Ovis aries: one gene and its partners. The protein of the gene in region 2 interacts with the protein of the main gene of each other region in a biochemical or structural test. Links are inferred from orthologs where the notes say so. Each region holds a gene or a part of one and is shown on either strand. Other genes may lie near its edges. The genes, in order: GBA1, SNCA, APOE, FYN, VAMP2, ENSA and SNCAIP.

Region 1 (3,077 bases), on a different chromosome or scaffold from region 2:
CAATCTCTGTGCCTATTGCACCCACATCCTCAGCCTGTACTTCCCCTGGGAAGGAGGTAAGGGGCGGATGGGTGGGGAGGTGGGGGGTGCTAGTCCTGGGGAGAGTGGGCAGGGACCCAGGAACCAGCCTCTCACCCACCTCCCTTCCTCTCCCCTCAGCTGAGGCACCACCTCCACGCCAGACACCAGCGAACCCAGAGTCTGAGGAGGAGCCACACCGGCGCCGGAACCAGATCCTAACCGTGTTGGCGGGGCTGGCAGCCATGGCCGGCTACGCCTTGCTCAGTGGCATTGTCTCCATCCAGCGGGCACCATCTGCCCGGGCCCCAGGCACCCAGGCTCTGGGCATAGCTGAGGAGGATGAAGAGGAATGATTTATCCTCATGCTCTCAGGACTGATTTTTCTACTGTCATGCATTCCAGAGGCCCCTGTGTTTCCCCATTGTTGGTATGGTGGAAATGGGGTGCCACCCCCCCGAAATAAAACTGCTCACATGGACTGAGATCAGACATTCTGTCTTTTAAGCAGCTGCCATTTTTCCTAGCTGGTACCAGGGGGCCATCTGGTGCTCGAGTCTACCCTCTGGTGCTTGGCTTCTTTCACTGCCTGTGCCTGGGTGCGGACATCTGCGTAGGCCTGGTTCTGCATCTCCAAGAAAGACAAACAGTTCCCAGTTTTGGGTCCGGCTTCCCTCGTCTCTTCCTTTCCTTAACCTCTCTCTCCATCTACCCCACCCCCCACCCGTGTTTGTACAGACAGTGAGCTCACCCTGGGCCGGGGCCCAGTTTCCACAGGCAACCAGCGCATAGCACACGCTCACACAAGCACGGGGGTGGAGGACCACTGGGGCTTCCTGATCCTTTCCCTAGGGCCCTCCAGCCCCTGGCACCAACTAGAGGGGAGAATGAGTCACCCAAACCACTGCCTCTGGGCTTACGTCACTTAAGCTCCCCCTGGTCCTGCTGTACCCTCTGTAGCCACAGACGGCATGTGGGCTGACCGTGTCCCTTTAATGTCCAAGCTGAGCCCAGGCGCAAGCGTGGGTATCAGCTCCATCACTGGCGACGCCACAGGTAGGTGTGAATGGAGTAGCCAGGTGAGACAGTCTCCATGAAGCCCACGGCGGGATCCTTGATGGTGAGAGGCACATCCTTAGAGGAGCTGGAGGAGGTAGGGAGGAGTAGTGGAGTGTGTGATCCCGCCAAGCCCACCGTCTCATCTTCATCCCAGTTCCCAGGCCCCGCTGCTCTCACCGGTTCAGCACGACCACAACCGCAGAGCCGTCAGGCCGAAAGAGTGCCACCGTGTCCAAGTCGCTCTTCTCGCTGGCAACCAGCCCCACTCTCTGCGAGCCCTCGGGAATGAACTTGCTGAAGTGGGAACAGGATTGTCAGGGACCCCAGCCCTGAGGGTAGCTTCCATCAGTCTATCACTTGAGAAGTCACCTTCCCTACCATCTATACCACCCTGCCCACCCCCACACCGGCCCCCAGAACCATTCCTAAGATGTGCCCTAACTCTCCAGGCCTCCAGCCAAGTGGTTAGATATGCCCTGCCCTCCTGCCTCCTAACCTCAGCATCAGGCATTGAGGAATTGTCTGTCTCAAATGCCATCTAGTCACTTCCTACCTACATGGTGCAAAAGGGACAGATGCAAGCCTCTCAAGGTTCCCACTCTCCACACCTTCCTGCCTCCTCATAGTGGGTGATCCAAGCCCAGTGCAGGAGATGCTAGGCCTGGCATGGAGTCGGAGTGCCCACCTTCCACTCACCTGAAGTGGCCAAGGTGGTAAAACATAGGCTGTTTGTAAAATGTGTCCTTGGCAATATCCACAATGATGGGGCTATCAACAAAGTTGCGCACCCAGTTGGGTCCCCCTTCAGGATTTAGGGCGAGGTTCCAGTCGGTCCAGCCAACCACATGGTAGAGGAGGTTCTAGGGTGGAAACAGGGCAGAGACAAAGGTTCCACGTTGGGCCCCCAGTGAATACAGTTAAGTGTCACATGGGGGAGATGGGCTGTGGGGCCTCGGCCCTGGGAGGGGTGTGTTTTATATCCTTAATATCTAAGGAGGGGACTTCCCTGGTAGTCCAGTGGTTAATGATCCTCCTGCCAATGTAGGGGACACAGGTTCGATCCCTGATCCAGGAAGATTCCACATGCCACTGGGCAACTGAGCCGATGCACCACAGCTACTGAAGCTGGCATGCCAGGAGCCTGTGCTCCACAGCAAGAAAAGCCGCTGCAATGAGCCTGTGCACAAAGGCTGGAGAGGGGCCTTGGCTTGCCACAGCAGGAGAAAGCCCGAGCGGCAACGAGGACCCAGCACAGCCAAACACTAAAAATCTACGGAGGGAGGGGTTTTGAGGGCAGAGGCATCGCCAGAGAAACTCAGAAATCTGAGGCAGCTACAACGGCTCAAGCATTCAGAACAAGGTGATGGGGTGCACAGATCTCCGAAGGGAAGGCAATAGAGGGCATCATGAGATCCCCAAACTTTGCCCCCAAGAGTAAGCAAGCTGGGGAAAAGCTGGAGAGGAGGGCCCCCTGTCAGCCTCTGGTGAGACTAGTGAGGGGCCCAAGGTGGTCTGCTGTGCGGAAGGAGAGACTGAGGTGGCTCACTGTGATGATACTGTGGCTGTACTGCATTCCTCGATCCCAGGAGCCCAGCCGCACGCTCTGCTCCCAGAACTTGGAGCCCACACAGGCCTCTGAAGCAAAGAGCATGGTGTTGGGGAACAGGCGGTGCGTCTCCCCCAGGGTGGCTTTTGCTGGAGCCAGGAAGTCCAGGTACCAATGTACAGCGATGCCATGAACATACTTAGCTGCTTCTGGGTCTGCCAGCACCTGGACAGAGAAAGGGAAGGGCTACTGGGGAGACAGAACCATGGAGCCTGGGTCCTGCACGAGGGATCTGGAGGAGGCACTAGAACTTGAGAGGTGGGCGCAGGATGAACACAACTTAGAGGGGGTTAAAGTGACAACCTAGGAGATTCTTGGGCTTTGGAGACCCAGAGGGGGGTCAACACTACCCCCAGCATCCCAGGAGTGCCACCTGGACACCTGGCCCCAGCCA
Region 2 (4,047 bases):
ATCCTTAATGGAAGCTATGGAGTTCGGATGATCATGATGTGTCAATGTAGGTTCAGCAGTTGTAATGAATGTACCATCTGGTAAAGGATGTTGGTAATTTGAGAGGTTATGCATGTGTGGGGTTTGGGGTACATGGGAAACCTCTATATATCAATTTTTCTGTTAATTTAAAACATAAAAATTAAGTCTTTAATTTTTTAAAAGTATGCCTTTTTACTTATAGGTTCGGCTTTATTATGATGTTCTCACAAGAACTCTACAGGGTACTTGCATGTATTCAAACTGTATTTTTACAAATGAGTAAAGTGATGCTTAGATATGTTAAGTACCTTTCCATTATCCTAGAGGTTAAAAAGTGCTGTAGTCTGGACTGGAATTCAAGTTTGACATCAAATCTACATTTTTTTCCTACTTTATCAGGAGTCAGTAAACTATAGCTTATGAGCCAAATAAACTCTCCAGCTGTTTTGGTAAGTAAAGTTTTATAGGAACATAGTCACCCTAATTATTGTTTATGGCTGCTTTCACTTCAGGAGAGCAAAGCTGATCAGCTGAAACAGACATCATACCCTAAAATTATTCACTACCCCTTTAGGGAAAAAGCTTGCCAAAACCTGGTAGTACTATAACTTCACAAGGTCATACTTCATCCTGAATTATGTATTTGTGTTCAACTTTTAATTGACTTTAAAATATCAACTGATAAATAGTATATAGAATGCACTCTGTTAAATACCATAATGAACACTGAAGATTATTTTTTAAAATATGTATACATAAACAAATTGAAATTTCATATAATAATCTCAGAGAAAACAACAGAATTAATCTCTAAAAAATTGTTATTTTATTTGCCCAAACTCATGGGTGAAAATGAAAACAAGTACAATGTTTTCCAGATGATAATCCTGCTTATTACCTGGAAAACAGCACCATGTTAATTTAATAGTCAGTGGTTCTTGGACTCATTCAAAACTAATAAATCAATATTATCCAACTAAAAATATCTTAAAAGTAACTAAGCTATAAAGTAACTGAAATCAAGGAATGGTTACAAAGCATGCACTTGTACAACTTGGAACACTGAGGACAAATATAAAAATACTGATTATCTAAATGTCACTGATTCAGTATTCCAAATTCCACCTAAAAAGATACAATCCACATTTCACAAGAAAAAAACTGAGTTTAACTCATTGACTTTTCCCTCTTGTAAGATCTTTCAATTCAATGATTTTCTGAAAATACATTTTAAGATAAAGAGTAATTTAACTAGAGGTTTGTGGTAAGATTGAACCAAAATAAAAAGTCTATGAACAGTGAGAAAAAATATGAGAAATATTCATAAAAATCATTCCAAGTATAACTTTTCTCCAGTCCATCTCTATTGAAGAGACGATATAGCTTTCCTTCACCCCACAGACATAGACAGAGTATTCTACACAATCCATTATGCTCATCCTCCACTTTATTACTCATCCTTTGGCTACTGGTGCTACACCTGCTACCAGAGAATGTGAGGAAAAGGAGGAAAAGCTCAGAGGAGAAAAGAGAATGGGCAGTGTGTGAGTGTATGCTCATGTGCCCGTTTGTATCCCTATAGATGAGTGTGTGTCTATGTGTATGCCTATTTCTTCACCCAAAGAATTCCAGGTGACTTGTAAAACAACACCCAACCTAACACAGTTCAAGATTAAAAAAAAAGAGTAGGGCTTCCCTGATAGCTCAGTTGGTAAAGAATCTGCCTGCAACGCAGGAGACCCTGGTTTGATTCCTGGGTCAGGAAGAGCCTCTGGAAAAGGGATAGGCTACCCACTCAAGCATTTTTGGGCTTCCCTTGTGGCTCAGCGGGTAAAGAATCCAGTTGAAATGTGGGAGACCTGGGTTCAATCCCTGGGGAGATCTGGGTTCAATCCCTAGGTTGGGAAGATCCCCTGGAGAAGGAAAATGTTATCCACTCCAGTATTCTAACCTGGAGAATCTCCATGGACAGTCCATGGGATCACAAAGTATTAGACAGGATGGAGCAACTTTCACTTCACTGCAAGAATACTCTGATGTGGGAATTTATAAACAAGGAAAAACAGTAAGCATCTAATTTATTGTATCATTTGATAAATGAACTATATAAATGTCTCAGAGATATTAGCAGCCTTCAAGCACTTTCTTGAGCTTAGTCCCCAACTTACCAAGTGGTCACAAGAAGTAACTCCAAAGACTTGTCTGTCCTTTTCTTTTTAGAGTCACAGTAGGTCTCTCTTTACATATCTCAAGATTATATCAACGTCTTACTTTTAAATTAGAATACACTGAAGTTAGCATATATTATTCATGAAGATAAATCAAAAGCTCATGGAGGAGTTTGATTTTAAGATACTATTGAATATTTTCTGAGACTGAGTTTTTAAAAGTGTCCTCAGAGCTATAGTTACTTATGCATAGAAACATTCATTTAAAAAAAGAAAGTCCTAAATATTACTGCAAAATTAAATAGTCTGGAAAAACAAAATAGCCCCACTTTGTATATTAGCTCAAACACACACATTCACCTACTTACACACACCTCTGATTCAGCCCATCACTTTGAGGAGTGGTGAGAAATACCAGCATTTAAAGCATCAATCATCCTAACCCATCAATCCCAAATAAATATCAAAGTGACATTTAGGGCTTACCTACCTACATAGAGAACACCCTCTTTTGTCTTTCCTGCTGCTTCTGCCACACCCTGCTTGGTTTTTTCAGCAGCAGCCACGACTCCTTCCTTGGCCTTTGAAAGTCCTTTCATGAAAACATCCATGGCTAACGAATTCCTTTACACCACACTGGAGAAGACAAAATACACTTTAAGAACTTCTGCGTAAAAAACAAAATTAGAACCACCCAAAGTAAAAACTATTGAAAGATCAGTAGAATCCTCAAAAGAGTGAGATTCTCTTAAGTGTACCTCCATTTCAACCACTGGACAAAGGAGGCTTTTCTTAGCTTTTGCATTAAAAATTTAGCATCTCCCATCCATCTTGGCTGGATAAAGTCTAGCCGCCTAAACATGGATTAGGATGAATCATATGAGCTGTTCTTACGCGTTTCCGAAGTGGAATTGCACGGAAAGATAGACTCCTCTTTTAACTTCCCAGGGTCCAAATGGTGACAGTATAAGTTAGAAGTGCGTTTAGAAGACATCACAGGAAAAGGAAAGGGACCTGAAGGCAGGGGGTCAGGGACACGCTTACATTCCAAAAGGCAGCTAACAGATCAATCACGAATAGGGGAGGGAAGGAACCACTCACTCTGGGTGTGGCTGAACCTCAGGCCAACTGCGAGCCCACCGCCCTCGCTCTAATTCACCCAACCATGCACCCGACCCTGGGCTATCAACCCAGAGCGTGCAGGAGGGCGCGAGTTCACAACCACGGAAGCCTCAGGAGGCGCGCCAGCCACCCGTGGGGGCGTTCTCAGCGCCTGGAACCCGCCCCCTACCCTGCGCCGCACCTGTTAACCCCTTATCACCTGTTGACTCGCCCTCTCAGCGCTCCCACTTAACGATTTGCCAAACATAGCTTGTTTACTTCACAGAGAGAACAGAGAGGGCGGACTAGAGGCGGGGGGCGGTTAAGGAAAGCGACAAACAAAAGTTGAATACTCATACTCCCTGGAGCATCCTCGCGTTTCCCAAAGGAGAAGCTTATCCCTGAGAATCCAGACCTCTCGGCCTCTGAGGACGAGAAGAGGGAAGCAGTCGAAGCAGGAGGCAAACAGGTCAGTTGCCTTTCCTCACGCTCACCCTAGGGATAAGCACTCACCTCTGAGAGAGGCTCGACTACAGCTGGTCCTCGCGGCAGCACGCCCACCCCACCCCCGCGCGCCCCGGGGCGCCCGCAACGACTCTTCTCCCACCAGGTGTTCTCCACGACTTCCAAAGCTGCCCAGTTAGTTCCACAAGCACTTACCAGATTTCCTCGGCTCCACGAACTCCAATTTCTCCCCCACCCCCACTTAAAAAATTTAAAAAACAATTCCCAAATGTTATTTAAGTGGGAAGAGAGA
Region 3 (4,259 bases), on a different chromosome or scaffold from region 2:
CCCTCTGTATCTTCCCATTCTCAGCTCCAACTTCACATCTAAACGCTGTCATCCGCATATTCGCTAATTTAATCCTCATTTAGAAGTCCTTCAACCCACGCTTTAGCTACCGTGCCGCCGCCCCTGAGCCTCCCTTACCGAAAATCTTAGGACAATTGTGGGCATCCAGTAGGTGCTCAGTAAACAGCAGTAACAGTTAGTGGGTTTTTGCTATCTCTCGTCTGGTTTTTCCTGCAGGTCCAGCTGCTCCCCTGAACCCACCTTCCAGTCCAAACGGGATACGCCTGCTCCCCACCCCTCTAGGTCCAGTCCCCTGTCTCTGGTCTCCTCCTCTGCTCAAGCTTTTGTCCTGGTCCGGGCGGCGTCGGACCGTCACCTCGTCCACCTCTCCCGCAGCCCGTCCCCCACAGAAGCCCTGAGCTGGTCTCCGTGGCCCCCAGCTCTGCTTCTCACCGCGCTCTTCGCCTCCGGAAACCGCGTCCTTCGCCTCCGGGATTGAGCAGGGACTCACGGATCCCAGATTCGTCCAATTATAGGGCTCCCCCCTGGCCCGCCCACTTCTCCTGAGCTGGGGCAAGCTGGGCCAGCCCCCTCAGGTCACGAGGTGGGCTGTCCTCCCCCTTCACACACAGCAAGGAGGGGAGGGGGTGGGGCCTGGAGGCCTGGCAGCCCCCACTCCCAGCCCCCTTGAAAAGATGACTTCTCACCCAGTAACTCAGGCGGCTTCCTCCATCCTGGTGGGTAGGTGAGCTGGTGAGGGCTGGGACAGTGGGCATGGAAGGGGCTGGAACAGGCCACTGCCCACAGCACCCATCCCCTGCCCTTCTCTTTTCCAGCGGATGGATGAATAGAATTTGGGGAAAGGACTGGGGGCCTGAAATCCCTGGTTAGAGGAAGGAGGGGGTTGGGACTCTGGGTAGGGAGGGGGAAGGGAGCTGGCTGGCTGGATAGAAATGGGATAGGAGTTCTGGGGACAGTACAAGGTATCTGCTACAAGCCCAGGCTTTGAGAGTGCAATCTGGACTTTACCATGAGCTCCCTCTTGCCCTCTTCCCTTGGGCACAGGAGAGTGCCTCTCTTGAGCCCCCTTCCCCGGTTGAGACCTGAAAATCCAGCATTTGTCCCAACTGTGTATTGTTCCTTCAGTGGGGCCTGAAGCATGCTTCAGGACTGTGCCTGCTTAGGACTGTGGATTCCAGAACCAAACTGCTCAGGCCTGAATCCAGGCTCTGCCAGTTGTCAGCTGTGTGACCCTGAGCCAACGACCCAGCCTCTCTGAACATCCAGTTTCTTGGTCCACAAAACCAGGAAAAGAGTTGCACTTAACACCGTCATTCGGTGAAGCAACAGGCTACTGTGTGTACTGAGAACAAGTAGGGTTAGCTGGCAAACAGTGGCCCCATGTTGGACTTCAGTTCTGTGCTGGGCCACAGTGAACACTCCTGTCCCTCCCTCCCTTGCAGCCCTGTTCATGAGCCCCAGCTGTTTCACAGACGGGCATCCTGAATTGAGAGTGTTGTAGCCACACTCTCTGCTCTCTGGGAAGTAAACTCACTCAGAAGGACAACGCAAATAGTGGAGTGCAGTTTATTACACCAGTGGGCCCAAGGCAGAGTCTTCTCTTAGCCAAGGACCCGGTCAGTTTTTGTGACAACCTTATATACCCTAAGTGTACATGCTCAAACCCTCCTCCCCGAATTCCTCAAAACTAGCCTGGATAATGTGAAGGGGCTAAATCATGATTCATATATTAGTCCAGACACCTAATTAGGCTAACATATATCAATAGGTTTTGTGCAGATAACAATTTGTTTTCCTCTGGGGTAGATTAGTATATTCTTTTCGGCGACAGAAAGTCCAGGAACAAGTTCTGGAGTCCCTTTATCCAGGGGTCTGTTTTTCAGTTGGAATGTTGCTTTTATAGATTCCAGGCACAAAGCTCAAAGTCCACTGGGAGAACACCCCGGCATGTAGTCCAAAGTTTTCAAGAAGTCTAAAATGGGGTCCTGCAGCCAAGATGGAGTCCGCTTTGCCCACTTTCCTCTTTTATTCCTCTCTCTTGATGCTCCTAACTCTCAGTGGGAGCATCACTCATAGGAATATATTGTACCCTAGGCCTCCTAACACCGATCTGGGAAAGTGAGGTTCGTCTCTAGGTTACAAAGTTAACAACATGTTGTAAAGTGCAAGGGCCGGATAACAGAACTATTAAAATGACAGTGAGCGCAGTTTCACACCAGTCACCCTTTACCCAAGATAGGACCGAGGTCCAGAAGGGAATATTTTCATCTGACATTGCTTTTGCTTGGTCCCTCATGTCACCCAAAGCAGTCGTTACAGTGCCAGATAAATCAGGAATGTATATACAACGGTCAGCCTTAAGTATGGCACAGGTTCCATACACAACATTCAACCTTAAGTATGGCACAGGTTCCTCCCTGTGAGGCGGTGAGGATGTCTAATGCCATTCTATCCTTGATTTTTGTTGTCTTACTTGATGCAAAAAAACCTCATAGTCATATCACCCCTCTGTAGAGGTGATACGCGCCGTGGGAGCCCGTCCATCCCAGATAGAGGCATGGCGCTGGACTGGCCCAACAGCCTTGTGCCCCTCTTTAGAACAAATCCCAGATACCTCACCTCCTCCTGGCAGATCCGAGCCTTCTTTTTCGAGACCGGGTAACCAGCCTCTATCAGCAGTCCCAGCGAGGCCTTGGTTCCTTCCCAGCAATCATCCTTGTTCTCAGCGGCCAGGAGCAGATTGTCCACGTATTGCAGCAGCCAACAACCAAACTTTTCTGGCTGAAATGCGCCTAAGTCCGAAGCCAGGGCTTCTTCAAAAATGGTTGGAGAATTTTTAAACCCTCAGGGGAGGGGGGTCCAGGTTAGTTGTTGTTTGGCGCCCCCTGTTGGGTCTTCCCATTCGAAAGCAAAAATTGGTGGTGATACCTGGGCTAGGTGTGTACAGAAAAAGGCATCTTTTAAGTCCAGACAAGGATAGAACTTTTGCACTTCGAGGGAGGAAGCTGAGTAAGGTATATAGGTTTGGGACTGTGGGTTGCAGGGTCATGGAAGCTTGGCTGACCAGCCTTAAATCTTGTATTGGCCTATAGTCCTGTCCCCCTTCCTTTTTAACTGGCAGGATTGGTGTATTTCATTCTGATTGGCATTCAATCAGGATGCCGGCCAGTTTCAGTCTATATAAATGTGGCAGTATGCCGAGACGAGCCTCCAGGGGCAATGGATACTGGCGTTTTCTAACCGGGGTGGCACTGGGCTTAAGTTCTATTATTATTGGAGCATGGTGTTTGGCGAGCCCAGGGGGGTTTCCTTCTGCTCAGACCTCGGGCAGTTGTTGAGCCAGTGTTTCCTCCCGGCCGTTCATCCCCTCTAGTCTTTTCTCAGTATATTCATGTAACCTCCATTCATCTTGTGGGGTAACTGAGAGGGAGAGTAAGTAAGTAGCTGGGCGGGTCAATGTGCAAAGTGGGGTGTTCGTGGGGGGAAAAGGTCACTTGTGATCCCAGTTGAGAGAGTAGATCTCTTCCTGGTAGAGGTACTGGGCATTCAGGGATATATAAGAACTCATGAGTCACTTGGTGGCCCCCGCCATCTGGCACTTTTAGGGCTTACAGAATTGTTTAATCATTTCCTTTCCAGGTATCCCAGTTATGGCAGTGGCCTTTTTCGAGAGAGGTGCCGTGGGTTCAGTTGCTACTGACAATCCTGCTCCGGTATCCACCATGAAGTCAGTAAGTTGGTCCCCTGCTTTTAATGTTATCATGGGCTCTTGTGGACCTGTGTCTCTGAGCCCCGGCATCCCTATTCAGTCTCTCATCCGTCAAGGCTTGCCACTGTACTGGTTGATTCCCGGCTTTTAGTGGTTTTAGGACATTGGTTTTTCCAGCGGCCAAACCCTCGGCACCAGGCACGCTGATTGGGCTGTAACGTGGACCTAGGCTTTCGTGGAGGTTTCCTGAGGGAGTGGTCTCGTCTCCAGGAGGGAGGGGCTTTCGTGGGCAGCCTGGCAGGCCTTCCCAAGGCCACGGCTAGCATTGCAAATCTCTGGTCTGCTCAGTTTTTCAGTTTCTTTCTTGGCTTCCACATCTCTGTTTCTGAATATTTTGTTTGCAATTTCAACTAGTTGGGAGCTGGACATTGATAATACTCCATCCAGCTTCTGGAGCTTTCTTTTAATATCAGGATAAGCCTGTGACACAAATGTTGAGTTTATAATGATGTGAGAGCCCCTGGCTTCG
Region 4 (3,506 bases), on a different chromosome or scaffold from region 2:
GGCCTCATGCTCTCTTCCTAGCCTTTCTGAGCTCCTGGAATGTAGTGGCTGCTGTCCACTCCTGCCAGAGCTTCACAGCCAACACTGGACAGGCTTCACAGTCAGACTTGGTTTTCTTTCTCGAAAGTCTATATAGTGCTTAGACCATAATTTGTACAACACCTTAGGAGGGTCTTGGGCTGCACTCTGTGTTCAGACACATCCTTAATTCTTCAGCAGTATGTATAAATGAAGAAAAACAGTCGAGCACCTCACACCAGGTCAGGTTTTATGGCCAAACAAGGTGAGTTCAGATCAGTTTGCTGCCAGGGAAGTTCCCAGAACTTGTGCTTTGCAGAGCTTGTTGGATTGGGGGTTGTGGATGAGGAAATGCTGGTCCTTGTCCGTTTGTCCAGAGCACTGCGGGACCCTCCAGTGGCAACCTCAGCATCTCCCCTTGCTTCCAACCGACCCCCCTGCCCCACCTGATTTATCAAAATGAGTTTTTCAGTGGTTGGAAGAGGATGTAAGGTAATTAACTACAGAGCTGACCAGTCATCCAACTGAAGAGAGCCCCTGTGAAGTCAGGCATGGCGTGGAGGAAGGGGACCCAGATTCAACTACCAAGCCTCTCTCACTAAAATAAGGGTCACTGCCAAAATGTGAGCAGAGTTATGTTAGAATAATTAAATTGAAGGCCTACTTCAACACAGCAGGAATAATACACAGATTTTATCACCTCAAGGAATTACAATGGCAGAGAATAAGAAAGCATCCTGAAAGGGTTTGGATAAGCATGTGACTGACAGGGCTGTGGTTGACAGTCATGGGAGCTGGAATCAGTCCAGCTCCAAAAACAACAACAAAGAGAACTGGCAACAGATCCCAGAATCTGCGCGATTCTGGGGGACAGGGGGACAGGGTTGTGACCTGGCCCGGCTGCTCTGGCTGGGTGGTTCTACTCAGCGGGTTGCCGTCTCCTCCAGAAGCTGCTACATGCACACACTATGTCCTGCTGATCGGAGCTCTGAGAGCCAGGGGAAGAATTCTGGGTTTCTGAATGGCTGAAACTCGGGTTTTTGCTTTTATAAATTAACTGGGTCAGAAGCTGGAGAGGATTCCAGATTATAGGCTCAGGGCCAAGGAGCAGCCAAAACATACAAGAGCTTGGCAGGCGATGGCAGAACACGATACGGCAGAAAAGGGAATCAAACCAGAGAAGAGAGCCTGGCAGTGATTGAGAAAGGGGTCAGGGCATTCAGCCCCCCTATCCACCCCTTATGTGGTATTTCCTGTTCTGTTGAGAAGGCCAGTGTGCAGGAAGGCTGCACTCTCCAGAGGGCTGGCAGTCTCCCAGAACGTCTCCTGTGAGCTCCAGGCATCCCGAAGCCTCTGTATCGGGCAGCTCCCCCAGAGGGTCACAGAGGTCTCCGTGATTGATGGCCTGTCCGAAGTCATCAGTAAACAGTGCCCTGCCTCCCTGTCAGAGTCATCTTAACCCAGGGCACCTGGGGGTCACTGGGCTGGACGGTGCCCAGACTGATGGCGTGATGGCGGATCTCGAATGGCTGAACACTGAGAGTTTGTCCAGGCACGAGGACAGCCAGTTTATGAAGTACATCAACAGAGCTTATAGGTCCTGTGAACAAAGGACAGTTTAGTTTTCATTCCCTGGATTTGTTTTTATCATTCATGTTTTTGTCAGTGTAATTGATGTATAATTTACATACAATAGAATTCTACAGTTTTAAGAAGTCCGTGAGTTTTGACAAACATAAACAGTCACACCTCCACACTCAGGATATAGAACATGGATTGGCAGCCTACAGCTTCTAGGCCAGATCTGGCTCCTGCCCTGTCTTTGTTTTCTATTTTCAGAGTTGTAGAAAAATAAATAAAATGGAGGATATGCGGCAGAGATAGTATGCAACCTAAAATCTTTACTGCCTGGCCTTTACAGGGAGGGTTTGCTGATACAGAACGTTTCCATCACCCTTGTGTTCCCTGCGGCCTCTTTGCAGGATTGCCCTCCCCGTCACCCCTGGCAACCACTGATCTGCTTTCTATCACTATAGTTTTTGCCTTTTCTAGAATTTCATATAAATGAAATCATGCAGTATGTCGCCTTTTGTGTCTGGCTTCTTTCGCTTCTAATGCTTTTGAGATTTACCCTCCAGGGCTTCACATGTGTCAGTAGGGGAGTCCTTTTTTATTTCTGAGTGGTGAGATAGCCCATTGAAGACAGGGTTCACCTCTGGGTGAGGTGGGCGCACTCAACATGTTTTAACCACCTGTAGGCTCCAAGGAGAAGAAAGAGAAGACATAGGGGCGCCCTCTCTCATGGCCCTTGTCTTTGCAGGCATGAACAACCGGGAGGTGCTGGAGCAGGTGGAGCGCGGCTACAGGATGCCCTGTCCACAGGACTGCCCCATCTCCCTCCACGAGCTCATGATACACTGCTGGAAAAAGGACCCCGAAGAGCGGCCCACTTTCGAGTACCTGCAGGGCTTCCTGGAAGACTACTTCACCGCAACAGAGCCTCAGTATCAACCCGGGGAAAACCTGTAAGACCTGGGTCTGCAGAGAGAGGCCTGGTCCCAGAGGCTTCCCCGCCCCCTCCCCATTAGCTTTCAATTCCATAGCCAGCTGCTCCGAGCAGAGCAGCCAGAACCGTCCAGGATCAGATTGCATGTGACTCTGAAGCTGACGAACTTCATGGCCCTCATTCATGACACTTGTCCCCAAATCCGAACCTCCTCTGTGAAGCATTCGAGACAGAACCTTGTTATTTCTCAGACTTTGGAAATGCATTGTATCGATGTTATGTAAAAGGCCAAACCTCTGTTCAGTGTAAATAGTTACTCCAGTGCCAACGATCCTAGTGCTTTCCTTTTTTTAAAATGCAAATCCTATGTGATTTTAACTCTGTCTTCACCTGATTCAACTAAAAAAAAAAGTATTATTTTCCAAAAGTGGCCTCTTTGTCTAAAACAATAAAATTTTTTTTCATGTTTTAACAAAATCCAATCAGGACAGGTGTTTGGTTTTTTTTTTTTTTCTTTTTTTTATAGATATGAATATATATAATCTATATATCCCTGTGCATACACCATGTGGGTGCTAACATGGAGACCGTGGCCAACCTTGGCCACAAAGCTTCAGGACCCAGAATGAGGATCTGACTGGAAAATCAACATAAAAGCACTGGTGGTGTTCTGAAAACCAGTGGCCTCACTTTTTGGCTTTTGCAAAACATGTTTGTTTGTTTGTTTTTGGACTGTACTTTTTTGGTTCATGACTGTGCCTGTAGATGGCTGTTACTTTGACTCTTATCAGGGCCCAAGCTGAATTCACAATTTCTTTTTCCAGTATTTGCTTCAACTTACTATGATTTGTTCTTGAAACTTAAAAGTGAGCCTCTTTAAAGCAAGCAAGTGGCCAGTACCACCAGGGAAACTAGAGGATGGATACCACACAAACTTCTTGTATAAAAACACGAATGCTGAAATGTTTCCAACGTTTTTTAT
Region 5 (4,176 bases), on a different chromosome or scaffold from region 2:
ACCACCTGCAAGTAATGTCATGCAAATGAAAGTGTGATACAAGGACCAACAGGGACTAAATCCTCAGTAAAAAAAGAAACACAGGTTGAAAGACTGAACAGAAAAGTGATGGGAGGGAAAGGAAACCAAAAGGAATGTCAGTAGGCAAATGGATGCTAATTAACATGCTAGAAGCTCCCAGAAGACCATGGGATTCTTAGGACCAAGAGGGACCAGTCTCAGAGCCTCCCAATGATGCAAAGAAAATGCACCTAGGGAAGCCTGGACAGTTGCTTTTTGTCTTTTTTGTATGGGGGTGAGGGTGGGGGGTGGGGGTGGAGGTATGGGGAAGGCCAGGGTGGGAGGAAGGGTCAGCTAAATCCAAGGGAAGGAGAGGAAGAGGGACTATTGCATAGCAGATGCAAATGAAGGAGACTTGGGGTTGGTCAAGAAGAGAGGGAAAGGGAAGGAGGGAAAGAGGAAAAGGAAGTGATGAGAACCTCAGGAAGGGGTGTTAAGGACAACTGGAAAAAATCTTCTAGTAATAAAACTACAAACAGACCAAATATATATAATATTATATATGTATAAATAACAGCTGGCTATTTACAAGGGGGCGCACACACGACACACACACACGGATCCGGGGGAGATGGGGCTGGAAGATATGGCTGAGAGGTGGAGGAGCGGCTGGGGGTTGGGGGGAGAGGCCCTTCTCTGGGCAGGGCAGGCTCCTCAGGGGTTTAAGAGCTGAAGTAAACTGTGGAGAGGGAAAGAGAAGGAAGAAGACGGAGAAGGGAGGAAGAGAAAGAGAGAAAGCAGTGTGTCAGCCCAGCCCTGCTCCCACCTTCCCCACCTCCCAGCTAGGTGACATCCCTTCCCCTCTTGGCCTCAGGTTCTTCACCTGTAAAGCAAGGAATCTACACAGATTGGTTCCCAGATCTCCTCAACTCCATGGTATGGCCTTGGGGCCACAGATCCCTAATCCTCTGAGACCACAGCTCTCAAACAATGGGGTGGTTTGCTTCCCAGCTGTTTCTCAAGCCCCTCAGTCTCTGCTGCTCTCCCACTCCCCAATTCCAGGTTCCCAGTCTATTATGCTCTTCCTGTTTTTGAAAATCTTAACAGAAATGGCCCAGAATCAGGCAAAGTGCAAGCTAAACAACTTCAAGGTTTGGGGCTCTAGATGAATCAGAACTGCTACTGGCAACCATATATACTTTTTCCTAAATACTAAAATCTAGGTTAATGACCTTCAAAACCCAGAAACCGCAGGGGAACCCTCTCCATGAAAGGGCCCTAGCCACTCCCACCCTACTCACCGATGATGATAATGAGGATGATGGCGCAAATCACTCCCAGGATGATCATCATCTGGGGGTGAGGGGGAGGCTCAGTGAGACAGACCAGGATACTCCCATTCACCCCCCACCTCCTCCCTGTCCTCCCACCTGCCTCCACCCTTACCTTGAGGTTTTTCCACCAGTATTTGCGCTTGAGCTTGGCTGCACTAGTTTCAAACTGGGAGGCCCCCGCCTGGAGGGCGTCGGCACGGTCGTCCAGCTCCGACAGCTTCTGGTCCCGCTCCAAAACCTTGTCTACGTTCACCCTCATGATGTCCACCACCTGAGGGAAGGCCCACAAGGCAGCGGTGTGTGTGCCAAGGTCCATCTCAAAGGGCACTCCTCCACACACCATGAGCTCACACAGGGAACAGGCATCATGTGGCCTGGCTAACATGCCAAGGACATATACAGAACATGCCTAGCACACCAGAGAAATGCAAGCAGCACACAGCAGGGGCATGTGGTATCCACACTGCTCAGATGTCACAGCACCACTCTTTATTTACTGAGCCTCAAGCAGCCTTCCGTTCACCAGAGCATCCACCCAGGGTGAAACACCTCAGGTTAGCCAGGCCAACATCCCCACGGGCCCTCCCATACTTGCACGCTGACAAGGACGGGCCATGGTATATTTTCGTACCCAAACATGAACTGCCATCACCCCCCAACCCAAAATGGACCCCCGTGTCGGTTTGTCAACCCTCAGGGTCCTTCCCACTGTTTCTGACACCACCACCTCCACTCACCTCATCCACCTGGGCCTGGGTCTGCTGCAGTCTCCTGTTACTAGTGAGGTTTGGAGGGGGCGCAGGAGGGCCTCCCTCCCCAGCCGGGGCGGCAGGGGGGGCGGTGGCAGCGGTAGCCGACCTGAGGGGCAGGGACGGATTAAGAACCAAGGCCTGCAGCCCTTGGCCCCGCAGCCAGGGCTCCGCCCATCCGCCTGTCCCTCCATCCGTCCCTCCCTTCCTTCTTGCCGGGTAGAAAGCCACTCGATGCGAGCCCTGGCCTCCGTCCGGGCCCGCGGGCGAGCTGCTGCGTGACCTTGAGGGAGGCCCCCTCCCCCTCGGGCCTCAGTTTCCCCGCCTGTCAAACGAGGGCGACCTCACAGACACGGTCTGGGGTGGACCCAGCAGCGATGATAGAGGCGGAGCGGCCAGATGGGGAGTCCGCCCCCTCTCGCGGTCAGCCTCCGCGCGGCCAGCCCGGGACGCGGGGCTCTCCTAATGCCCGCGCGCAGTCACAGGCGCCGGCCTGGTCTCGGGACGCGGGGCGCGTGGGGGACGCGAGTCGAACCCCGAGCCCTCCCCAGGCCTGGGCCTAAGGGCGGCGGCCAGTGCCGGCCAGGCGGTGCAGGTGCGGGCGCCGACTCACATGGCGGGGGCAGCGGGCGGAGGACTTGGCAGCGGCAGTGATGGCGGCGGCAGCGGAGGCTCGAGCTGGCTCCGACTGGCGCTGGCTGCCCGGGACGGGAAGATGGCGGCCGCACGTCACCCACATCCGGGCACTGCGGGCGGGGGCGGGGCGCGGCGGGCCACTAGTCGGCCGCCGGGCCGCGGGGGCGGGGCGCCGAGGGCGGGGATCGCGGCCTGCCAGGTGGCGGGTCCGGCGCCGCCTGGCCCCAGCCTCTCCCTCGCTGCCTGCGAACCCTGAGCCTGGTGGCAGGGCTCCCTACACCCACCACTAGCCCACCGGGTCTGACCCCAGCCCTCCCCGAGGTCCTCGCGGTCCCCCTGCCCCCACCGCCTGGCCCTTGAGGCGCCCTTCAGCCCCAAACACATCCTCCTCCTCGGTGAAAGCCGTCAACCTGTCCGCACCCCACGCAGCCCCAGGTCCCAGCCTGCTCCCACGTCCCAGTGCGGGTTGAGCAGCCTTGAGCATTTGGAAGGAGCAGGGGGGTTGGAAATCAGAAGGAGCAAGTGCAGGTCGGAGGCAGTGTGAATAGCTGGGATCCTGGGAGTGGTGGGAATTGATCCTCAACCCTCTGCCTTGCGAGTGGCTATCCAAAAGGAGGTCTGGGAACCGTGATAGCAACCCCCTCCTCGCAACTGAGGTTCAGACCAGGGTTCCTTGGCAGGCGAGGCCTGTCTGAGGTGGGGCAAGCTTGGGAACCCGGGAGAAGGGCACTACGCTGCCCTGTGGGGCCGCTTCATGTGGTGGCTTCAGACTGGCAGAAACCTAGCTCTGACCCAGAGTTGAGTAGCTACCCTGGCAGCCGGAAGAGGGCTCAACCTCTGATCCCAGGCACAGGGCTAAAGGACAAGGCTTACGCATTTTGTTTTGTTTTATTTTGTTTTGTTTTGGCTTTTCTTTACCGGGATGGAGAGTAAGTGGGCAAGGGCGGCACCTGCGGTACGCAGGGACTTGGTACTACTTTACCTAAGGATTAGCCTCATGCGTGTGACATAACAGCTCCTGTCCTACCTCTAGACCCAAAATGTATTAGGTGTGTCGAGTCTATACCTATATTTGTTAAATGTCTAGATGTAAGACATGGTAGGGAATTATCCACAGCCCTTTCCACACCTGGTCTCTGTTTAGGTCGTCTAAACTGGCCCAGCATCTCTCACCCACCCACCGTGCTCTTTCCAGCAGGAGTGGCCCCTCAGGAAGGAGGCGATGGGTGTAAATGAGCTGCCTGTCCGGTGGGTTGTGACAAGCCTCAAGAGTGAAGAATGAGGCCCAGTGGCCCTGTTATAGAAACCGTGGCGAAGGCAAGAGACAAGCAAAACTCGGAGATGTGGAACAGCAAGGTTTATTCCGCACTGGTGCAGGCACAGCAGAGTTGCCTCCTGAGGCTGAGCACCTGGGCTTTGTTCTGGGTATCTTTTATATGGCGCAGGCTTATGGGTCC
Region 6 (4,082 bases), on a different chromosome or scaffold from region 2:
GGCTTGTTTCTGAGGATAATGTACTTTCCTCCTACTCCAACCACTCCCACACATGTTCCATGGCTGGGAGAGCCTGCCTACGCCTGTCTTGCTTACAGCAAGGTAAGCTGCAAATCAGCATCACTTCATCATCTGTGACTAAGACTCAGTAACTGGGATTCTCCACAGAGATCTGTTTCCCTCTCCATTTCATCTGCATAGAGAAATACACTGCAGGTTAACGACTGACAACCCCTCAGTCAGCTTTAGGTACCTCTGAGGACTGAGGAACCCGAAGAGGAGCTAGAAGGCTATGAAGGTAAGACTCTCCCTTGGGAGAAGGACCACTCTGGACTTTTCCAGTGAGTCTCTTCAGGCACCATAGTTAATGGCTGGTGCTAACTTCAAGGGCCTGAAGAAATCATTTCAAGTTGAGGAAATCTGTAGGACAGATTTCTGGGCCTTTCTTCGGAAATGATGCACCTCAAAATTTAGCTCTAATCCTACATCTGCAGTCCTAAAACTCCCACCATCCAAACAGGCAAACATCTGGAGGCTGTCAGCATTCCAGACTCTGACATCCTTCCCTCACTCTTCCAAGGCCATTCCTACATGCCCCTCCATTAAGCTTTAGTATCCTGAGGGAAATCAGAAAATAACTGATACCCTTTCAGGAATTTACAGTATTTGCCTTGGGTTTGTGGGTTTTTTTTTTTTACCAAGTTTCTAATTTTTCTTTACTACTTCCCAACAACAAAACCTTCATATCAGTGTTCAGCAGAACTTCCACAGATCTCATCCCTAAAGCCCCTTTGGTTCCAAAGTAAGAGGGTAAGAGATTGTGCTCCATACCCCTTTCTGGAGTCTCTTCATGAGGAAGTCGGAGCCTCCAGGCTTTTGTCCCAGGCTTGGATATTTGGCTTTTAGCTTTGCCTCCTCAGCTTTCTCAGGGAGAACACCTTCTTTCTCTTGGGTGTCCTGGAGGAAACAAATGGGGCCAGTAAAATTAAACACTGAGAAGCAATGCTTCCAATATCTGCTAACTTTTACACTATTACCTTTTCCTGGAGATCTACCCATTTGTAAACATGCTATTCACACTCTTAAATAAAGCCAGACCTTTGTTCAAATCCCTGAAGCTCAAGATGACTGTATTGTGAGAAAAAAATATAAGTGTGACTGTTTGTCACACTACACCTAGGGAACCACCCCAGTGACCTGTGAGTACTGAGTTAAAGGTAATACTGAAGAACAATACTTTAATCAAAGAGCAAGCAGTAGCTCACTTAGAACAGAAGCTAGGAAAGACAGAACAGAGCTAGCAGGGATTCTGGTGATGCAAGATTAGTAGGGAGATCTCCAGCTGTCTGTAAAATACAGTACAGGTCAAATGGGAAATTGAAAGGGATAACTGTTGAGATGTTCCCTCCTAAGCTAGGCTTTTGATAAATCTCTCTATGGAGGCTAGCTCTGTGGCCTTCTCCAGAAAGCACCTTAGCAATGGTCAGTAATGGAAAGCAATAATGGACAGCATTGTTTCCATAAACATTGTAGTAGGAAGGTGACAAGTAAACAGAAATTAATCTCAGGAAAATTAAGATATAGTGGGTTCACTAGTACTTACCCACCACCTCTGTCAAAAAATCAACACCTTCCCTAGTGATGGAGGTTTGGGAACAAGCCAAGAGCCCAATTAACTTGCAGGGTCTCTTACTGTTGTTGTTACTCTCTGCCTCCCTTTTTTGTGGGCCCTGTCGCCCTCTTCTTTGACTTTTTAAAAAAGGACATGAAGCCAATTTGTGGTTCTTTTTAGTGGAATTGCATTCCTTTGCCTTGAAAACCTGGCCCATATATAACCCAGGGGTATTTAATGAACCCGAGTCCAGTACTAAATGTTATAAATCAAATACAAAACACCTACAGAAGTTGCCGTGTTTTCATCACAGAATTGCGGGTGAAATAAGTCCCCACTATCTTAGAAGTCGGGGGGAAATATGGTGGCGTCTTTCTTTTCATGACTCTCTAGGGGTCTTTCCTAGGTTAATCTCCATTATTCTGTTTGAAACTCTAGCCCTCTTCAATTTTGTAAGGTCCTCTTTGAAGGTGGGCCAACAGACCATCTCCAGCTATCAAAATATCTCTTTGAGAAAGTTGCAGTCTTAAATTAGCCATGATAATTACTCTTCTCCCTTCCCCCGGTGCTGACCCCTTTTTAAACGTCTATATCTTGACCTGTATCTTTAGGATACAGAATGCAGGACCCAGCCTGGCTGTTGGTTCATTTTACCCCTACTAACCTATAACATACATCTCATCCGGAGACCACCAACCCCCTTTCATTCACCCACTCTTTTCAAACACCCGCCCCACGCTCAGATTCGGCCAATTACAGCACAGCTTCAATAGGCCTAGCAGTAGGTCTACTGACCAATCAGGAAGGGTACTATACTGATTGACAACCCAGCCAACTAACCAGAGCCAAAGCAGCAGGCCCTGTTGAAACTCACCCTGCATGACGCAAGACGTGGCCAACCCCTGCAGAGCCCGAGACCATGGCGACCAATCCGCACTGGTGGGAGACCGCCTCCCGCCCCATCACAATCGCCCCCAACTCGCCCACCGCACCCCCTCCATTTCACCTGCTTCTCCTCGCCGGTCTCTTCCGTAGGGTTCTCCTCTTCTTGTTTCTGGGACATGCTGGGACCGGGACTGTGGAGTGTGGGGGACCCGGGAAGTCAGCCGGAGAAGGGAAGGGGGAGGGGAAACGGGACAACCAGCACTGCTTCTTCAGCTCCTGTCACTAGGATTGCTCAGTCAAAATGGCGGCCCTTGCCTGTGACGTTGCGACCGCCCCTTCCTATGGGAGCCAGTGGGAGCTGTGGATAGGGCAATGACGTAACGATCTACCAATAGTTGCTGGCTAAATGTGGGTTCTATGGAGGCGACGGGCAAGCTGGAACGCCGATCTGGGAAGAGAGTGACTCACAAGGACCAATTGGAAGCACGTGGGGGAGGTTAAGGGGTGGTGCTGGTAGCTTTGGCATTTTCGCTCCTTTCGTGGGGGTCAGACTTTCTGCCGCCCTACCTCGTCGCCCCCAGGGGGCTTTTCTGAGCTTCGAATTGGAGAGCGAAAGGCTGGAAACCTTTTATTTCCAGGTGAAGAGGATTAAGCTTCGCGCAGTAGCAGAAAATTATCAATCTCCAGAAAATAATAGGAAGGTCAGAGTGGACTTTAAAGTGGTCCTCCTCACTCTTCCAGTGTGTCATTTAGGGTGTGGAATGGAGAGACTGAATGGTCCAGCAGAATATGGATGGCTTACGTTTCATCGTTTAACTCTTAACGTACAGTTTTTTTATTCGTTCAGTGCCATCCCATGGAAACTGAGCTCCTTGAAACAGCACAGGTCTAGGTACATGGTAAACACTGCGTAAATACTCGCGAACATATTGAGTGTTTGAAGATGGTACTGTTTTAGTTTTACAAGGAATATATATGTAGTAAGGCAGTCTTTGCCATAGAGGGTTTTCACAGTATGCTAGGTGTACCCAAATCTTCGAGATTAAAAGAGACTCATCTTCCTAGAGTGTTAGTTAAAAAACGTCATTTTTATATTAAAACAGTCTAATACTAACACTGAAGAATTGATATTAAATTTTAATTTTCCAGGGAACCTGTTGTGGCAGCTTTAGGGCTATCTGTTCATTTTTCTGTATAATTAAGTACATTTCTAGTGGGAAAATCTGAGAATCTTAGAATACACAGATTATTATACAAGGCAAAATCTGGTCAGCTTGAAATTAAAATGTTAATAAAGTGGTAAAGGGGTTCAAAGGAAAGTTCACATTCAGCAAATGGCAACCCACTCCAGTATTCTTGCCTGGAGAATCCCATGGACAGAGGATCTTGGCAGGTTACATACAATCCATAGGGTTGCAAAAGTTGGACAGGACTGAGCGACTAAGCACCCTACCCACCCCACCCCCCCCCCCGCCCGACCCCCCACCCCCCAAGAAAAGAAGACTTAATGATGGAGCTGTGTATTTGAAATCAGCTTTAATTTTGCCAGGTAAAGGTGATGGAAGGACATTCTAGGTGATGGGGT
Region 7 (3,954 bases), on a different chromosome or scaffold from region 2:
AGTGGCAGAGCTATGACACAGTAGGCAGAGAAACTCATTTGCCTTAGCCCCTTCCTTTTGGACATCCATACACAGTAGCAAATGTCAAATCAATAACTGCAGCATCATTTCAAATCTACCATATTGTAACCTTTCCTCATGAAATGCTTGCTCTAGACAAAATGAAGTTTATGTTCAAAGCTGTATTATTTATTTTTTTATATTTTATTTCTAACTGAGATGTCCAAAGATCCTTAAGAGAAGCACCATCTTCTTTCTGTGTCTAGACTTGAAACTCCTACATATTTGGGTAATCTTCAGTTAATACTGCCTTCCAGAGAGACTTCTGCAATGGGAACAAAATGTCACACTTTTTCAAATAAAGGACACCTGAAGGGTGTCTCCCTAGACTCCAGCCAGGCTGAACGTAATTTAACATTGAGATGCATCAGAAGTACCCAACAGACATTCTCTAGATGTGAACCCATTAGCATACTGCTTTCCTAAACCTTATCCTCTCTGTCTTTGAAAATTTCAATATATACAAAGGAAATACAGATTTCAACCCATTCCCAACTGGGACGTCTGCTCCATAATAAGAGAAATAGGTTTTTGCCTTTCTGCAGATTCAGCAGGGAAAGCCATGCTTGAAAATGATGTGTTTAGAGTGACACCTTGGAGAACTGACACCCTCTGCACACATGCAATCCTCATAAACCTCCCCAGACAGCCCTTATTTCATTCTGCACACTGCACCCTGGCTGGGCTCCACAGCACATGGTGTGTGGTGAGACTGTCCTGCAGTGGTTCTCCCTTCCTGGCGGCTCTTTGATGGACAGTTGTCGGTAATAGCCAGGAGGAGAGGGGTCCAGCCACCAGCAAGTGAAAAACGGGCCACCGACAGTAAGCTTCCTTAATTAACTTTCCCAAGGCAAGCCTGTTCCCACAGGAAAAAACACCACGTTTCCCCTCTCCTAGCGGTCCATTGAAAATGAGCAACAATGCTGTTGCCTTTTTGTTTCCTAAAGACTTTCTTCCCCGCAAGCAGTAGCGTGTTCCTCAAAGAATGCTAGTATTTCCTGTGGAAACTGTATGGCTGCCAGTAATGGCTCATAATTTTCCCTCTTTTCCTTTCGTAAAAATGAAATAAACAAAACGTGGCATTTGACAATAGCCAAATTACCAGTCACCTCGCTTACCACCTGCAGATGAGAGACATCACCGCGAAAGGAGGCCAGGAGAGAAACACTCCTGGCTACAATTGACCCGGACGAGCGGGGAACACAGGACAGCGCCCGAGGGTGGTGCCCTAGAGAACCGGGCAGCCAGCGGGCGGCGGTGCCCAAGAGCGAGGGGCTCCCCTTGGGCCGCGCGGCAACCCCAGGCGTCCCTCTTTCGCGATTACTATTATTGTCGGTACTGTTTCTGTGACTATTACTTCGTCCCTGGTTACCTCAGTTCTTAGGAGCCTCGGCACTGCCCATCCCTGCCTCCCACACCATCCCAGGTGGCAGGAAGAAGAATAACCACACGAAACCGGCAAAGGAAAAGAGCAATCCTTTGGAACCTGAGGTGGGGGCTCCTCCCCCCTCCCTCAAGAAGAAGAGAAGCCGCTTGGCAGGCGCCGCCAACGTTACTATAGAGACCTCCCCCCAAACCCTTTCTGCAGAGGCACCGCCGCCACTCGAGCCGCCGGGATTCGCCGCACAAAGGGGCCCCCCCGGGGCTCACGGCGGGGCGGGGGGCACCCCCGCCCGGGTCGCCCGGTGCAAACTTGGAAAGGCTCAGTCGCTCGCGCCGTCGCGCCCCACCCCCGTCTCCCCGCGGCGCCCACCCCGGGACCTGGACTCACCCCGGGCGCCCGGCGCTGCGGCTGCTCAAAAATGCGGACGGACGGACGGACCGACGGACAGATGGACGGCGGCGGCGGGAGCAGGAACCGCGGGAGCCGGCGGGCGGCGGCCGCGCTGCCGCGGCCCCGCTACGTCACAATGCGGCCGGGCCTCCGGCGCCGCTCCCCCCCGGGCCCCCCAGCGGGCGCGCGGCAGCGGGAGGAGGGCAGCCCCGGGGCGGCGGGCGCGGACCTGGCGCGGAGGGACGCGGGGCGCCGAGCGCGGCGCACCGCCGGGCGGGGGCGCGGTCTGCACGGCCGCGGCCGCCGCGCCCTCCCGCCGCCGCCGCGCGCCCGGCGCCCGCCCCCCGGCCCGCGAGCCCCGCGCGGCCTGACTGACGGCGACCCTCCCCCGCCCGCCCCGCGGCGCCCGCCGCGCGGCGGCCCCCAGCCCCGGCCGCGCAGCCTCCGCGCCCGCGAACCTGCTCTTTTCTCCTGTACCTTTGGCCCTCGCACCTCTGTGTCTCTGCTGCTCAACTGGCTGTCTCCGATCTCCTCCCCTCGCACTTTTTACCCCCTTTCGCCTCCGCCCCCCACCCGCGCTGGGCGGCCTCTCCCCCCACCCCCGGGAGATGAAATCGCCCCTCACCGTGATCCCTGCGTCAACCGCTGCCATCTCATTGGTCCCCAACCCATTCCAGGGTTCCAGCCTCGGCCGGGCAGAGACACTCGGGCAGGGGGCGACGGAACATGGGCACGGTCCTGGGAAACGGCCCTGCTTCAGGAGCCCCTTGGCAGAGGATCTTTGCGTTGGCACAGTCCTAAACCCCAATCCTCCCCGCCCGCCCCCAACCCGGTCTCGCCCACCCTCGAGGACTTCGCCAAGGAAGGCAGGCTGAGGGGTCTTTGCCCGGAAGGTTCCGTGCTCGAGTATGGGTGGTGGATGGAGGAGACTTTGGTCTGAACTGATGGTGTTTCTAATTCAGCAACGTTTAATACACCGACGGCCCTTTAGTAATATGAACTTTAAGCAGCTCTGTCTTGATTGGGAGGGGGCGGGGAGCTGCTGGACGAGGCATCCGTCAGTCAGCACTGGTGACTGACTCTTTCCTTCCTTATTTCCGAAGTGAAGTCTGGAGGAGTGGAACCATTGATGCTAACCTTGGCTCACGATCGTCTCGCTCTTGCCCTTTGGAAAGCTTTAAATGGTTTTTAAGAAGGCTCTTTCCCCACCCCGGCAGAAATGGCTCAGAGAAGCTCACTCAGCAAAGCCTTTGAGGGCCACTGTCCTGCTCCTGGGTGTGGCCGCTTGTCTGATGCTGCTCCAGAGCAAAGTGTGAGGAAGCAAGTTCTCTCGTCTGTCTGCTTAGGGGCCGCCTGGTTCCCTTGCCAACTCCGGAGGACAAGAGTGGCGCAGCGATCCTGGGAAATTTGACCCCATCTGGGTTAGTGGCAGTGGGATGTATAGCATGTGTAAGGCTGTCACTGAAAACATATTACCAGTAAAAAAGGAAGGGCATGGTTGTTTAAAAACTGTGGTTGCCTGGATGACTAGTGTAGTCCCTGCGAGGTCCGGGGGCTGCTGTGTTGGCGCTGCAGGGAAGAGGCCCCTGTACTATCCGAGGACACACCCAGCCCTCCCTGCCCTGGACCTCTTTGGATGAGGAGTACATAGTCTCTGAAATAAGGACTGCCTTGAAGGCCAGCAGAAGACATTTCACATGCTTTTGATTCCATTTCCAATTGAGAAACTAAATTTCTCTCTCTGCTGTCTTACATAAACAGCCGAAAGTATGTTCTGCCGGTGTGGTAATTTGTTTACTGTAATTCATCATATATAAGACTTTAAGTACATACACGGAAAGTGGCTTCACAATTTGAAAATACCCACTATCCCTCAGAAAATGTAAAATCAGATGACATCATATGGCACTAAAAAATACTTGAAAATATTGGGTTTAATTCTTTCACATCTGGTTAAAATAAAAATGCCTTTTTTTTTTTTTTTGCCTACTATAAACTCTCAGAAAAGCACATCTTGCTTCCATCCAGTAGATATGGATGGAGTTGGTGTCACCCTTGATATGTTCTATACACAACACACTTTTATTGCCATCCTCTTAAATATTTTGACAGCCTGCTTT

What was found.
Region 1: the proteins of SNCA (region 2) and GBA1 form a complex in vitro, tested with the Homo sapiens proteins (2 studies listed by BioGRID). The link is inferred for Ovis aries from reciprocal best matches to the Homo sapiens genes SNCA and GBA1.
Region 3: the proteins of SNCA (region 2) and APOE form a complex in vitro, tested with the Homo sapiens proteins (2 studies listed by BioGRID and IntAct). The link is inferred for Ovis aries from reciprocal best matches to the Homo sapiens genes SNCA and APOE.
Region 4: of the proteins of SNCA (region 2) and FYN, one has a biochemical effect on the other in vitro, tested with the Homo sapiens proteins (3 studies listed by BioGRID). The link is inferred for Ovis aries from reciprocal best matches to the Homo sapiens genes SNCA and FYN.
Region 5: the proteins of SNCA (region 2) and VAMP2 form a complex in vitro, tested with the Homo sapiens proteins (3 studies listed by BioGRID and IntAct). The link is inferred for Ovis aries from reciprocal best matches to the Homo sapiens genes SNCA and VAMP2.
Region 6: the proteins of SNCA (region 2) and ENSA form a complex in vitro, tested with the Homo sapiens proteins (2 studies listed by BioGRID, with this or other methods). The link is inferred for Ovis aries from reciprocal best matches to the Homo sapiens genes SNCA and ENSA.
Region 7: the proteins of SNCA (region 2) and SNCAIP form a complex in vitro, tested with the Homo sapiens proteins (3 studies listed by BioGRID and IntAct, with this or other methods). The link is inferred for Ovis aries from reciprocal best matches to the Homo sapiens genes SNCA and SNCAIP.

What each region holds. Positions count from the first base shown.
Region 1 is NC_056054.1:105,402,867-105,405,943, forward strand, and holds the end of GBA1 (lysosomal acid glucosylceramidase), read right to left. Parts: intron 2,849-3,077; coding exon 2,624-2,848; intron 1,938-2,623; coding exon 1,774-1,937; intron 1,407-1,773; coding exon of another isoform or gene 1,372-1,406; coding exon 1,255-1,371; intron 1,163-1,254; coding exon 1,057-1,162; 3' UTR 501-1,056; downstream 1-500. Other genes in the region: MTX1 (metaxin-1), read left to right, coding at 1-56, 160-374. UniProt on the Homo sapiens protein: Glucosylceramidase that catalyzes, within the lysosomal compartment, the hydrolysis of glucosylceramides/GlcCers (such as beta-D-glucosyl-(1<->1')-N-acylsphing-4-enine) into free ceramides (such as N-acylsphing-4-enine) and glucose.
Region 2 is NC_056059.1:35,535,541-35,539,587, reverse strand, and holds the start of SNCA (alpha-synuclein), read right to left. Parts: upstream 2,801-4,047; coding exon 2,680-2,800; intron 1-2,679. UniProt on the Homo sapiens protein: Neuronal protein that plays several roles in synaptic activity such as regulation of synaptic vesicle trafficking and subsequent neurotransmitter release.
Region 3 is NC_056067.1:52,423,423-52,427,681, reverse strand, and holds the start of APOE (apolipoprotein E), read right to left. Parts: upstream 2,801-4,259; 5' UTR 2,641-2,800; intron 746-2,640; exon of another isoform or gene 690-745; intron 504-689; exon of another isoform or gene 262-503; intron 1-261. UniProt on the Homo sapiens protein: APOE is an apolipoprotein, a protein associating with lipid particles, that mainly functions in lipoprotein-mediated lipid transport between organs via the plasma and interstitial fluids.
Region 4 is NC_056061.1:26,093,748-26,097,253, forward strand, and holds the end of FYN (tyrosine-protein kinase Fyn), read left to right. Parts: intron 1-2,338; coding exon 2,339-2,547; 3' UTR 2,548-3,006; downstream 3,007-3,506. UniProt on the Homo sapiens protein: Non-receptor tyrosine-protein kinase that plays a role in many biological processes including regulation of cell growth and survival, cell adhesion, integrin-mediated signaling, cytoskeletal remodeling, cell motility, immune response and axon guidance.
Region 5 is NC_056064.1:27,613,617-27,617,792, forward strand, and holds the start of VAMP2 (vesicle-associated membrane protein 2), read right to left. Parts: upstream 2,801-4,176; 5' UTR 2,699-2,800; coding exon 2,697-2,698; intron 2,193-2,696; coding exon 2,072-2,192; intron 1,606-2,071; coding exon 1,447-1,605; intron 1,354-1,446; coding exon 1,302-1,353; intron 740-1,301; coding exon 723-739; 3' UTR 1-722. UniProt on the Homo sapiens protein: Involved in the targeting and/or fusion of transport vesicles to their target membrane. Major SNARE protein of synaptic vesicles which mediates fusion of synaptic vesicles to release neurotransmitters.
Region 6 is NC_056054.1:100,620,821-100,624,902, forward strand, and holds the start of ENSA (alpha-endosulfine), read right to left. Parts: upstream 2,801-4,082; 5' UTR 2,676-2,800; coding exon 2,619-2,675; intron 958-2,618; coding exon 832-957; intron 1-831. UniProt on the Homo sapiens protein: Protein phosphatase inhibitor that specifically inhibits protein phosphatase 2A (PP2A) during mitosis.
Region 7 is NC_056058.1:29,243,268-29,247,221, forward strand, and holds the start of SNCAIP (synphilin-1), read right to left. Parts: upstream 2,801-3,954; 5' UTR 2,460-2,800; intron 2,354-2,459; exon of another isoform or gene 2,293-2,353; intron 1,975-2,292; exon of another isoform or gene 1,832-1,974; intron 1-1,831. UniProt on the Homo sapiens protein: Isoform 2 inhibits the ubiquitin ligase activity of SIAH1 and inhibits proteasomal degradation of target proteins. Isoform 2 inhibits autoubiquitination and proteasomal degradation of SIAH1, and thereby increases cellular levels of SIAH.